3 linked regions of the Danio rerio genome follow. The protein of the gene in region 3 purifies or fractionates together with the protein of the main gene of each other region. This does not show direct contact. Links are inferred from orthologs where the notes say so. Each region holds a gene or a part of one and is shown on either strand. Other genes may lie near its edges.

What was found.
Region 1: the proteins of ddx6 (region 3) and mcrip1 purify together in Homo sapiens (affinity purification with mass spectrometry; 3 studies listed by BioGRID and IntAct, with this or other methods). This does not show direct contact. The link is inferred for Danio rerio from reciprocal best matches to the Homo sapiens genes DDX6 and MCRIP1.
Region 2: the proteins of ddx6 (region 3) and atxn2l purify together in Homo sapiens (affinity purification with mass spectrometry; 6 studies listed by BioGRID and IntAct, with this or other methods). This does not show direct contact. The link is inferred for Danio rerio from reciprocal best matches to the Homo sapiens genes DDX6 and ATXN2L.

What each region holds. Positions count from the first base shown.
Region 1 is NC_133178.1:64,678,122-64,682,933, reverse strand, and holds the start of mcrip1 (mapk-regulated corepressor-interacting protein 1), read right to left. Parts: upstream 3,145-4,812; 5' UTR 3,047-3,144; intron 2,502-3,046; exon of another isoform or gene 2,350-2,501; intron 1-2,349. UniProt on the Homo sapiens protein: The phosphorylation status of MCRIP1 functions as a molecular switch to regulate epithelial-mesenchymal transition. Unphosphorylated MCRIP1 binds to and inhibits the transcriptional corepressor CTBP(s).
Region 2 is NC_133178.1:14,060,241-14,064,952, reverse strand, and holds part of atxn2l (ataxin-2-like protein), read right to left. Parts: intron 2,520-4,712; coding exon 2,409-2,519; intron 2,330-2,408; coding exon 2,261-2,329; intron 2,174-2,260; coding exon 2,109-2,173; intron 583-2,108; coding exon 245-582; intron 1-244. UniProt on the Homo sapiens protein: Involved in the regulation of stress granule and P-body formation.
Region 3 is NC_133193.1:46,839,627-46,844,438, forward strand, and holds the start of ddx6 (probable ATP-dependent RNA helicase DDX6), read right to left. Parts: upstream 2,646-4,812; 5' UTR 2,605-2,645; intron 2,310-2,604; exon of another isoform or gene 2,222-2,309; intron 1-2,221.

The sequences.
Region 1 (4,812 bases), on a different chromosome or scaffold from region 3:
ACGTTACTTTTGCGTCACTTTTTTTTTCTGAGGCTTGATCTCTTTCAGAACTTGCAGTTTTTTTCTCTTTTTATTTAAAATAGAGAAGCTCTGCAATTGACAACACACTGTATAACCATCATTTACCTTAAAAAAAACACATAAAACATGTATGCAGGATAATGTTATCTGAGAACTTCCTGACCCCAGAGCTCTACATGCCGCATATACAGAGTAATGTCTGTTTAAAGTGATGCATTTGCAACTTTTGTACTTTTTTTCTTATTAAAAAGTCAAATCATTTGTCATCAAATCATTGTCCATTCAGATCATGCTCTTTTCATTTTCTTCCATGTGTTCAGAATAATGAGAGTTTTTCCATCACAGAAATGTAAGGCTCTGCCATCTTCTTTTCTGCCCATTCCAGCTTTCTGTTGGTGACAGCGTGATTCAACGTGACTATGTTAATTTTAATTCAGCAATTTATTTATTTATATATATAAAACTGAACTAAAAAGTAACTCGCATTGTGTTTTAAAATGTAACTCAAATATTTTTACTTACAGTAAGAGTCAGAATTATTAGCCCCCTTGTTTATTTTTCCCACAGTTTCTGTTTAACGCAGAGAAGAGTTTACCAACACATTTCTAAACATAATAGTTTTAATAACTCATTTCTAATAACTAATTTATATTATCTTTGTCATGATGACAGTAAATAATATTTGACTAGATATTTTTCAAGACTCTTCAATACAGCCTAAAGTGACAGTAAAAGGCTTAACTAGGTTAATTAGGGTAACTAGGCAAGTTATTGTATAACGATGGTTTGTTCTGTAGACAGTCGAAAAAAATATAGCTTGAAGGGGCTAATAATTTTGACCTTAAAATGGTGTTTAAAAAATTAAGAACCGCATTTATTCTAGCCGAAATAAAACAAATAAGACTTTATCCAGAAGAAAAAATATTATCAGACATACTGTGAGAATTTCCTTGCTCTGTTAAACATCATTTGGGAAGTATTTAAAAAAAATATCAATTTAAATTAAAGGGGGGCTAATAAATCTGACTTCAACTGTATATTTAAAAGTAATGTGTTACTTTACTCGTTACTTAGAAAAGTAATAATATAATTGTGTATATTATATATAGTAAATAAAAAAAAAAAAAAAAAATATATATATATATATATATATATATATATATATATATATATATATATATATATATATATATATAATATTATCACGTAACTCATGTTCTTGTAGTCAGTGGTGTAAAATAACAAAATTACAAATACTCTAACTACTGTAATTGAGTAGTTCTTCTCAGGAATTGTAATTTACTAAGTAGTTTTAAAGATGAGTACTTTTACTTTGCCTTGAGTACATGTTTAGTGCTGTATCTGTACTTTTACTCCACTACTTTCCTTCAACCTGCAGTCACCACTTTATGCTTGTCTATGGGGATTGGACACATCCGTCCTGTGATTCCTGTCCAATCAAATCACACATAGAAGGTAAATCACATATAATAATCAACCTCAAGACATGGGGGACTTATAATTGCAGCAAACTGTTTGCAAGCATTAAAAGTGTCCAAGAAGATGTGCAAAATCTTCACACACATTGACCCAGAGACTGTTTAGATGCATGCTGATGGATGTTTACGGTATGATGACCAAAAAGGCCTTAAACACCCAGCAGACACAGGACGTCAATATGACGTTAGATTGACAATGTACCCCAACGATGGGGGACATTGCATTTTGTTTGGAAATGAAAATCAGGTTGACGTCAGAACCCAACGTCAGGCCGACATCAATGTACAACCTAAAATCAACCAAATACCTAATGTTACATCTTATGTGGACGTTACCACTATGACGTCTATCAGATGTTGGATTTTGGTTGCCATACCTGACATATAAATATCAGTATTTGACATCAATATGACGTTGGTTTAAGATGTTGGCTCGACGTTAGATTTTGGTCACTTTCTAGCACAACGCAGAATCAACCAAATTTCAACATATCAGCGTCGATATTGGATATCAAAGTAACAAAAGATGCTGGATAGACATTAAATTTTGGTCACCTGACATCACAACCTAAACCTTACCTAATATTAACGTCTTATGACGTTGTGTGCCTGCTGGGCAATAACTAAATGCACTACAGAATGTTACGTTTACACACAAATTACATGCAAACACATCAGCTTTTCACAGCGTAATACTCACTACGCTTGAGTACTTTTGAAAGCTCTACTTTTTACTCATACTTTGAGTAATATTTACTTTAGATACTTTTACTCTGCTTGCACTACACTTTTAGGCAAGTAAAAATGATTTTTCAGTACTCTTTACACCACTGCTTGTAACGCATTAACCTCAACACCGATGATAACAGGATTTCCCAGTTTGGACTTTGCAAACAATAGTTTTCTGAAATAATAATATTAAAGAGAAAGTCGAAATGTGTGAATATATAAAACCAACATTACCTCAATCTGAAATCGCGTGTAAGTATGGCTTCAAAACTACATTAGCACTATTTATCTGACTGTGTACATGTTGTACTTTGATAGTCACAGGCTGCTACTATGATATCCTCATGTAGAATGAACGGAGAATACTTTTCTGAAGTCATATTATTAAGGAGAAAGTCTGAATGTGCAAATATAGGACCAACTTCACCCTAATGAATAGGAATGTTATAAGATACTGTGAGAAGAGTGTATTAACGTCAGTAAGTTAGATATGATCAGATCAGCAGCATCAATGACTTAAACCCATCAGTAACATGTCTGAGCTGTCGATAGTGTACACAAACACACACTCCTGCTTCTGTGTGTCCCCAAGCACAGGGTTTATCTGAATCAAGGTAACTGAGTAACTCAGTGTTTGTTATTGTTTATGACTTGCTGGCAGCTAGTCGGTTAGCATTATGTTCATAGTGGGAATCTGACGCGGACTCTACGAGAAATCTGAGTGTAAACAAAGCATCGCGACACATTCAGACTAGCACTCAGCTTATGACAAAATGAGTGTATGAAGCTTTTCAAACCTGTCTGTTTGTTTCTCTTTCTCCTGCTATCTCTGTATTCAGGCCTGGCTCGGCCGAAACGTTGCTAATGCCAACCAATTACTTCCGGGGTAAAGTCTAGAGGGGATACAGCTGCGGATATTCACATTGCTTAACATTTATTCTTTTTTTTCGGCTTAGTGCCTTTATTAACCAGGGGTCGCCACAGCGGAATGAATCGCCAACTCATCCAGCACATGTTTTACGCAGCGGATGCAACCTGGGAAGCACACACACACTTGCATTCACGCTCATACTCCACGGCCAATTTAGTTTATTCAATTCACAATGCTTAAGAATAATTATTAATACTTTTGCATTATAGTGAGGGTTGTAGTAGGGCTAGACGTTAATAAAAAAGATTTTAATTGCCATGGTCATCTAATTAATAACTTACTATGAATAATACTCGGTTTAATTACTGTTTTTACATTTCTGTGATGTGTTTTTGGTTGTGGTAGGAGTAAACGTTGATAAAAAATACAATGAATTGACAATTTAATAAATATTATAAATAATTCTCGTTAACTTCTGATCGCAGCTGTATCCCTTTTAGCAATCACCATAGGGTCAGCCATACTCAACTGAGCGAGTAGCGCATGCGCGTCATAACGTTGAGTGAATGGGGTGTATTCAGTCGGATGTTTATTTCCAGTCATCCAGCCTCAGGGCTTCCGGCGAATTGTCATCCCTTACAAAATCGCAGCGGTTAAGATATAATAATAAAAAAAAGTGGGTGTCAGACCTAACAAGAAGCACTGCATTAAATTATATTTTGCTAGCCATGTCTATAAAATATGGAAATTAATTGTACCCCAGTATTTTCAATGGAATTTCTGCGCTGGCCTGTGGCTGACGACGCCTGCGTTTAAACGTTTTTTGTCTCTTTTTACGTTTTAACAACCAACTGGATGCGTATTAGGTCAAGTTAACTGATTATATTTGATTTACATTACAACATTGATGCTGTAAAAGTCATCTCATGAAATTGATAATAGCCACATAAAGCTTCCACCGAAGGTCATAATTGGCTGAAAAATACTAGCTGTGCATATAGCCCACTTTCTCAATTTAAAACACCAATTTTTATTTTAGCAGCTTTGATGAGAAACTAAAGTGTGAGGTGACATGAAATAAATTATTGTCCCATTTGGATTGAAGTGACAACTACAAGCTTTAGATGTTTATATCAGTGACAACTACAAGCTTTAGATGTTTATATCTTACAAACGCAAATTTTGTCACTGCTTTGGAGCACACTATTTATATAGATCTCGTTAAAACTAACATACTGGTAATAACATCTAAAATAATAATAATAATTCCTTACATTTTCTGGGCACTCAAAGCGGTTTACACATAAGGGGAATCTCCTCATCCACTACCAGTGTGCTGCATCCACCTGGATGACGCGATGGCAGCCATATTGCGCCAGATCGCACAACAATCGAGAGGAGAATAAGTGATGAAGCCAATTATGACATGGGGATGGTCAGGAGGCCATGATGGACAGAGGCCAGTGGGCAGATTTGACCAGGATGCCAGGGTAAAAACCCCTACTCTTTTTCGAAGGACATCCTGGGATTTTTAACAACCACAGAGAGTCGGGACCTCAGGTTAACATCTCATCCGAAAGACGACGATCGCTGAGCAGTATAGAGTCCCCATCACTATACTGGGGCATTAAGACCCATACGGACTGCTGGTTGGTTGCCCATTCAGCCCTGCTTAGCTTCAGTGGGTGACCA
Region 2 (4,712 bases), on a different chromosome or scaffold from region 3:
AAATGAATAAATTTTTTTAAATAAATAACACAAGCAACAGAAATATATGTAAAATATAATTAAATAGAAATAAATGTAAAAAAATAAACAAATTTAATAAATAAAAGAGTTAAATATAAAAAATATATAAACAATTTTAAAATAAATAAATGTAATAAATTAAAAATAATAAAAAATAAGATTACTAGTATTGGTCACAAAAGTACTTGATTAAAAGCTGAACAGTCTGACATGTTCTACTCACTCGGTCATGCCCTCAGATCTCTCAGGGGCCTCTGGTTTGCCATCCTCACTGCCTGGGGTCCTTGCAGGTTGGGGCGCCCCCGCCGTCTGCCCTTCTGCAGGTGGATTTTGCATGCCAATCCCAGACGGTGCAGAGATGGATGTGGCCGGTGGAGGGGTGGAGGTCACCGGCCCTTCTGGATTAGTCTCTCTACTTCGCTCCTCTGCTGAAAGCTCTGTGTTCGGGGTTGTGGGCGGGGCTGGTTTTGCTTCTGTGGGAGCGGCGGGGTCAGTCTGTGTGTTGTGGGCAGGGTTTGCTTGAGTAGATTCAGTGGGCAAAGTTTTGGGGTTTTGCTGAAGCTAAAAAATAAATATTAATAATTTAAAAAAATAAAATAAATTTCACAAATAAGGAAAAACGCTCAGACTTAGCAACATAGTTCACATTCTGAAACAAGCTAATCTCGCCTATATACAAACAAAAGCGACTACAATGCAAACATGTTTGAACATTGTTCATATTGAGTGTATAGGTTTTTAAAGTGTGCTAACAACAGGTACTTTACTATGCCATCAGGCTAAGGAGGAGATGGAGTGTGTCCACAGACTCATTAACATCAGGGTTCTTTACAAAGTCAAATTTAAGCACTTATCCAAATACTTTAAATACATTGAAAAACATATTGAAAATACTTTATCACATTATATCAGATGCTATTTGTTAAAACACTACTATATTATAGAATAGTATAGCAAAAAACAGGGGAGGATTTGTGAAAGGTAGTAAAGAAAGAATGCAACAGGTAGGTCACTTGATCAATGTAATACAAGTTGTTTTCACATGACGACACTGATGACGTGTGAGACTCAGATGGTGGGCAGAAAGTGATTCTTCTGCATAGGAATCTCTATCAGAACATCAAAATGTTCGTTTTATGTTGTTTATTATTGTTTAACTCTAGATAAGAAATGCCGAACAGCTTTTATGGACTACCAAAAGCTTTTGCTTGTAAAGGGAGGAAAAGTTGAAGAAACTGGCTGAAAAACAGAAAAGGGGCAATGTAATAAACAATTTTTAGTACATCTATGTGTACAAAGTTTTTTGAACGAGATAATTTCATTTGACAGCACCAATAAAGATGATATACAGGCCTAACTATGTGTATTAGATGGTAATGTGTTATATAAAAATCACATACAAACACCACCAAGCTACAAAATCCAGGAGAATATAACCTTTGCGACAAAACTAGACTGTTACTATTGAAAAGCACCCCCCCTCTCTTGGAAAAATAAACTAATAATAATGTAGACTATGCGTCCACAGTTTTGTATGCTTTCATCTGTTATTACGTGATGTCGAAGATATCAGCAGGGGGGAAAAAACTATAGTAATTTATAATGAACATGTTTTTAAACCACATATTAAAGTGTATAATGTGCACAACTCTTTGTTAATGAATTCTCCCGAATACTGTAGCATTTTAAACTGAAACTATAGTAAATACTTTAACGTTAGAGTAAACTCTGGTGCAATGTGATGGTGTATAATTATACAAACTGAAGCCTATTGAATAATTTGTTTATTACTACAGTTGTGATGTACCACAGCAACAATATAATTACTACAACAGTTTAATTCAAGTAAAAATCTAAAGTATGCTTCCAAACACTATAGTATGTTCAAAGTAATAGCTAAATATATTTTAGTTTAGTAGAAATTTCATCGCAAAAAAAATAAAAATAAATAAATAAAATCGCAAAAAGACTTTCCTGCATCTCCCACTCAGTTTTTGTCCTTCCTGCCCTCCATCTGAATTTCGCGAGTCACCAGAACCACGTGATTGAAAACAACCTAGATGCAGATTACATTCGTGCACACTCACCCTAAAAGTATTACCAAACTTGCGAAGCTCCTCAGAGATTTGTGATCTCTGCTGGACCGAAGGTACTGTTACAATAAATAGAAGAACATTCATTAGCTAAATATCAAGAGGATGCAATGAAATTGGAGATAGCAACACAATACTAGCATTACTTTTGTTGCTCTTGCCCTCCTGTGGACTAACTGGACTCTCCATCCTTTCCTTGGACAGGATCTCATTTACTGTGGTGAAAATGAAAAGGAGTTAAGACGCACCGACAACTGGACAGTGTCTTAAATCAGATTTATGACAACATTTTACCATCTACAGGGAACAGAGGAGTGGGGCCAACAGGTTTGGATGAGGGGTCCAAATAAGATCCAGTCAGAAGAGGGTCCTGAGGAGGAGCATCTGGCTTAGGGGAGCGAGAGACTGCATGGAGAGAAGAAAAAAAAATTAGCAATGTGTTAAATTAGGGGAAAAAAAATGATAAAGCAATATTTACCAAATTTAAAAAGTCAGTATTTCTACAGTATGTTTGGCCTGTTTTAATATTAAAACCTAAAATAAGCATTTAATCAAATTAAATTGAAGATTACTTTAAAACCTAAAAAAAAAAAAAAACTAACAAAGGACTGTGGTTCGCTAAATTTGGATATGTGAAGTGATTGAAAAAGTTTTATTAGTGCAGGTGAAAAATATGTGTCTGTACTTATAAAATATGACGAGCAGTCAACAAGATTTGAAAAAGAAAACACCTTTTTCTTATTCCCTTCATTTCTGTATTTGTAACTTCACCAATCCATTAAAGAGCCCATATTATGGGTTTTTGAAAATGAGCTTCCATGCATTGTGTAACACAGCATCAAGTGAATAAAAACATCCAGCTGAGGTTTAAATCTGAAAGTGCCCAGCGTTCAAAACTATTGATTCTTTAAAGAAATAATCGACTCAGAGAAGAATAAATTAATCGTGTTCAGTTCAGATCTTTTGCCTGAACACATCGACGACAATACATCAACAAAAATGTAGTACCGGGTCCGGTTAAACGTGAACTTGCCTTTTCATTTAGACACTGGTGGAGCTCAAGGGACCACAGGACTGATCATGACATGAAGATGACAATCACTGACAGATGGAGATTCGCTTGCGGGTATTAAAGGGTTTTCACTACAATGCTACTGTATAGCCAACCTAGTGTTGTGTTTGTTCCTGTCATTTTTCTAATTATTTATACAATATCCTCCTTAGCAATACCAGCCGTTTGTTATTAAAGGAAGGAGCAGCAGAGTAGGCGAATATATTTATTATGTATGGGACCAGTTTCTTCTTCCTTTGGATCGTAACATGTAAGTGTAATTAAAATTGTTGCCTCGTTTTGTGTAGTTTGCAAAATATGTATTTTTGTTGTGTTGTAACATCACATGGCCTGTAATTACTTATCTATTATAGATCAGTGCTTCTATGCATCTCTCAGGTTAAATCCGTGTTAGGCTATTTACATATTGCAACCAAACCCATGTTGAAAACATGACGTGTGGTTCTTCCTTTACCGATTTAAATGCACTTCTGAACTCACGATCCTCTGCTGTCATCTTTGCTAAGGCCGCCATCATCTGTTCCTCACATTAGCAGCGTGGTCAATTTTCAAAATAGTTCAGCTTTTGTCACTGTGTGGATTAATGCTGAATGTGTGTCGCTGTTATTATTTGAAGTTAGTGTTAAGAGTAGAGTAATATGCTGGTTTTTTAACGCATTGCTTTGTTGCATTCCTGCATTGGGCTCTCACATACTCTATTTCTTAGCCATGGTGGGCGTTTCACACCGTCTCGCGCTGAACCCAGTCAAACAATCACAACAGACTGGGTCATCGAACAAATCAGCACAGATTAGCATCATGCAAAGGAGGGGTTTGGGAACAAATGAATCGAGAAACGAATCATATGGGAGTCGTTGGGATAATTAGGTAAAAATAAATGCATATTTTAAGATAATGAAAGTGTTTTTGACTTTGCATGCATGTCAGTTTGTTGTTGGAGACCCCTAAAACCAAAATATGACCCTTTATAATGCAAAATAGGGGCTCTTTAACATTCGTAATTACACAGCTGTCTGAAATACTTGATTCAATTTGGTGATAGCGATCTTTCAAATTATATTATTCCTGGTACTTTGATTCATCCTGACAGTCAGGGAATGAGTTCACTTGAATATTTATATCCTCATCCGTCAAGACGTTTTGACTCTGTGACTGAAAGATTTGTAGGTTAGTGTATATGCTCAATCAGCTCCATTCAGCTGGTTTTGTTTGTCAGCTTTGCTTTAAAGAATGAAACTATTATGGCCTAGAACAAATGTTTTGAGTCTAATTTTTACATTCTGTGGCAAGAATGCATATATAAAGTGGGATAAAGTACTTCCAGGCAGTTTTTTTAAAGCTCAGATAAGCCTGTCAGGTGTTATTCTGTGATGATAGCCTCCAAAATGTACTTTATTCCTTACTTATAAGCCAGATGGTAAAGTAGCAAAAATTACAAAGTCAGCTACCATTACGGAGGACAAATAAGCATGATTAAAAACCGTGATCACATTGCAAAAGACCTAGTGTGGGTACAGAAGATCTGT
Region 3 (4,812 bases):
ATGAAGTTAATTGAATTGTGCTACAACATGTAAAACAGGATCATGAAAAGAACATACAAATTGCAACTTATGCGAACACCTTAATCATATTACTGTCTTATTCAGATTAAGGCAAATAATTTAATTACTAATGTAAACTTAGTCATTGAGTGCTTAGATCAAGCAATGTCGACGAGGCATGGGACGATAAGTTTAAGGTATACCACGGTTTGGAAAAGCCAAGGTTTTAAAACCGCAAAAGTTTCCTACTATACCATTCCTAAGGTATGTCCAAGTTTTGTTTTTTGTTGTTGTTGGTTTTTTAGGACAACAGTATTTCCAGCAGAAAGGAATCAAAAAAAAAATCCAAAGATGCTGTTTTAAATTGTAAGGAAATCTGTGTTTTTTTAAACAAATGAAGACAGCATTAGTCAAAGGCTGTGTCCGAACCGCCTACTACTCAGTAGGTACTGCTTTTGAATTTAAATGTACTACTCGGCAGTTACAAACGTACGTTCTATACAGTATGAATGTGAAAAGTATGGACAGAATTCGGACGTACTATATCCACCATTTTGTCATGGTCACGTGACCTACCTGCATCAGTTGCGTTGCTTAACTTCCATTTATGAATTCTCTCACGTGGCATTATGGGACAGCGCAGCGTGCATAGGATGCGCACTCCGGAATCTCACCGGAAGTAGCAAGTCATCCGGGTACTTCTCGCAAACTGATTTTCGAACTCTATGAATTTGGACATACTACTCGACTCGCATACTGATTTTAGCATACCATATAGTATGGAAGTATACGGTTTCGGACGCAGCCAATGATTCATTTGAATTATTTAGCCTAACATGTTTACCATTACAAAATATATCAAATGTTTCTCTAAATAAAATAAATTGTGTTGAAAGGGGAGAAAAAAAAAGTTAGTTTTTTTACCCAGACATTTAATTAGAATATATTTTAAAAGGAGTAATCACAATATCGTAAAACAGAGATATTTTTATCCGAGGTTATCATACCATCAGAATCTTATACCAGCCCATGCCTAATGTCGACCAAGCAAGACATCGTATGAGGTCTAATGTGAAACTTTGTGATGCAAGATGAGATCAGGGTTAAGGTTGGGTTTGATAAAAGGTTCCATCATTTTAATTTTCTTTTAACAAAAAGTGTGCTAATTGCTCTGTGCATCTTTACCACAAACTAGCACTAACACTTATACTTCTACAATTACCTGCAATATTACAGCATCAAAAGAGTTAACACACACTCATGCAGAAATTACAGGGACAAGCTCTGGTAGAAGTGTCAAGATAAAAAAGTCTCTTGAATTTGTAACCAATTACAACTTTAATTCATTTTCAGATCTATGAACAGACCATAAACGTTATTAAATGTCTAATGTGAGTTCAATAATGATGGCAGCAGCAGCTGGCACAATGTCAACACGATAGGCCTCATTGTAAAACAGCCTCGCGTTTACCTAAAGCATTTAAAAATGACAAACTTTAATAAATGTGACTTCAGTGTTGTTATGCATCTATAAAAACAGGTGAAGTTGCACGTTGACTACACAGCTGTGGAGCTTAAAATTAGACATAACAAATGTTTGGTTACCTTAAGTTAAGCGAAAGCGTATAGTTCATTGAACTCATTCCACGAATACTAAAAAACAATGTTATGTTATACGATATAACCAGTGTCACGTTGTAGTTATTAAGCTAAAATGTACATCTTAAAGGTTAACCGTATTGATTCCACATAACGTGAAACTCGGCGTCACGCAACAAACGTTAATGCTAATGTTTAGCTACGCAGCTACCGCTGACGGCTTCAAGCCAGACAGATTTTAATAGTCGGATACATTTTAAATCTTTAGCAAACACGGTTATCATAATACGATGGAATGTGGCTTTTATTATAAGCAAATCTAAATATATAAGCTGTTAGGAAGGAAATATTAGCAGTGCTCAAGCTCGTTAGCTTTTGGCTTGCACACAGGCCGCACGCGTAACCTCAGATTCACAATCACCAGTATAAAGAACTAAACGCTCGTTTCATAAACGCTAAAACAGAAGCAAGAACATATTTAACTCTTAACTAAATCAGCTAACACAAACACTGCGAGCCAAAAAGACATCACAAATTTGTAAACACCAAGACACAAAGAAACCCACAAAACCGACTTAATCCCCAGAACACAACACGTAGATTTGACGTTCTGCAAACTTACCAAACGTGGCAGAGAATATCTTTCAGTGTGTTTGTGTTTGTGAATTATAGGTGTAGAGTTGTGACATATTTCGGGGTGTAAAGCGAGTGTGTAAGATGGCTTCCAGTCATCTTTAAACCCTCCCATAATCAGTCACATGAGACAGAGCCCTGTCTAATCCACACAAACGCAACGCATATGACGATTGTTTAGAAAACGCAATTTAATGCTGCCGTCATTTCAAATGCGTTGTTAAATATATATATATTAAGAATACGTTAATTAAGCTCTTAGAATTTCGTTTTATTTATGTTTTATTTATTTGTAAGCGGTTGAGGTCGTCACAATTACACATTTTGCTTTAAAAACGTCCTAATTACATAGCAGCGCAGTTTAATTCCTACCTGAGCTTGTTGTAGTCTTGGCTGAAGCACGGCATGTGAAGGGTGTCATTTAATTAGCTCAACGTGTTTATACTTGACTAATTGGTGTAAGGATCCATGTGGTTTAGACATACTGTTTTTTTATTTGGGTATTTAAAAACATATTTTATCTTTAATAATAATGCTTATTTTATTATTGTTGAAGAGGCTTGAAGTGCACAAAGTAGGAATCTGTTGATAGGCACGCCTGAGGTGTTTGGAGGTAGTTAATGAATTGCCTTGAGTAGTTTAATGACTAATTAGACTGACTTATGTGGCTAGAAAGTAGTTTTTTAACGTAACGTAACATTTTTGTGCATTAGTATGTCTGTTATTTATTTATTTTTCGTTGCGAAAAAACATAAATTTTGAGCACGATGACGAACGTGTCCTTAAGTTTGACATAATATACATTAAACCTAATAATTCATCAATTTTCTCTCAGCTTAGTCCATTTATTCATGAGAGGTTGCCACAGCGGAATGAACCGCCAACTTATCCAGCATATGTTTTTTTTTTTTTTTTTACAGCAGATGCCCAGCTTCAACCCAGTACTGGGAAACATCCATACACACTCATACACTGCAGCCAATTAAGTTTATACAATTCACCTAAATGCAGTTACATCCAAATATATTTAGATGTGTTGTTGGACAGGAAACGTAAGTGGACTGAGTCTATAAGGAAAAGGCAACAGAGAATGTACTTCTTAAAGAAACGATTGTCTTTTATTGTTGACAACACATCGTTGATCATATTTTCTAGTGTTTTTATTGAAATTATTGCAACATTTTGTGTGATCTATTGGTATGGAAATGCTTCTGAGGCCCAGAAGAGGTCACTGGGAAAGGTGGTAACAACAGCCAGTAAGTTCTTGGGTATAAAACAAAAGGGCATTAATAGTATATACAAAGAAAGTGTATTAAATAAGGCTATCATGATTGTCTATGATGAGAGACATCCTTTATCAAACACCTTTCAATTGTTACTATCAGTTTGTCGATATTGTGTTTACAGATGTGTGAGAAATAGGACAAAATGATCATTTATAGGGAGCGCGAGGCACAAAGTAATGCAGGGTAACGTAACATGGAGTTGTAAGGTATTTGCTCAGGGTTATTTATGAGGTGCCGTGTAGGATTTAAATCAAACTTTGCTTATCAACACATACATAAAACACGTGTATATACACCTATAAATTACTCGCATATACACCCATACTACTGGATGTTCAAAACAACATGAATGAAACTTGTGTATATACATATAAACTTGACACATGAATACACCCACATACACACGCACATACATATAAACTCGATCCTCACATAAACACTCACATTAACACATGCACATACATATAAACTTGCTGCATGCAAACACACCTATACACACTCGCATATACAGATAAACTCGATTCTCGCATAAATATCCACATTTATATGCACATACATATAAACTCGCAGCATGCAAACACACCTATACATAATCGCATATACATATAAACTCGGTCTATGCAAATACACCCTCAACAACACATGCACATACACAAACTCACTGCATGCAAACACACCTATACTGGCATATAGCCCCAATGTCTAAACTCAGTGCGTGTATAAACACCCAAAATAACACTCGCGCAAACATACAAAAAATAAATAAATAAATAAGATTCACAAACGTTTATCAGGAATCTGGTTATTGCAAAGCTTATGAAATAGAAATAATGTGATTAATAGAGGGATTAAATATGTTAAATTATGAACATATGTTAAATAAAATATTAGTCTATATAAATAGACTATTCAAAATAAGAAATATTTTTATTTAAAACCTTTTCATTTAATTAGGTAATTACATACACAAATATAAATGGACAGATAGAGCCCTTAAAGGATGTTCAAAAAGCAACCAGAATTATAAATATAAATGTACACTCAAAGTGAACTCCTCTTTTCTATTGCAAATGTTAATGTTAATGCCTATAGTCTTCTTGTTTTGTTTTTTAAAATTTTTATAATTATTATGCTTTTTATATGTTTTTACAATGTGGGTGTCAAAATTGCAAGATTTTTGGTATCATTTTGATTGTTAATTATTCACCATATACAAAAAAAAAAAAAACCCTGCTGATTAAAAGTCTCTGCTCATCATGTTGGTCAAGTTAACCCCCATGGAAAAGCTACATAT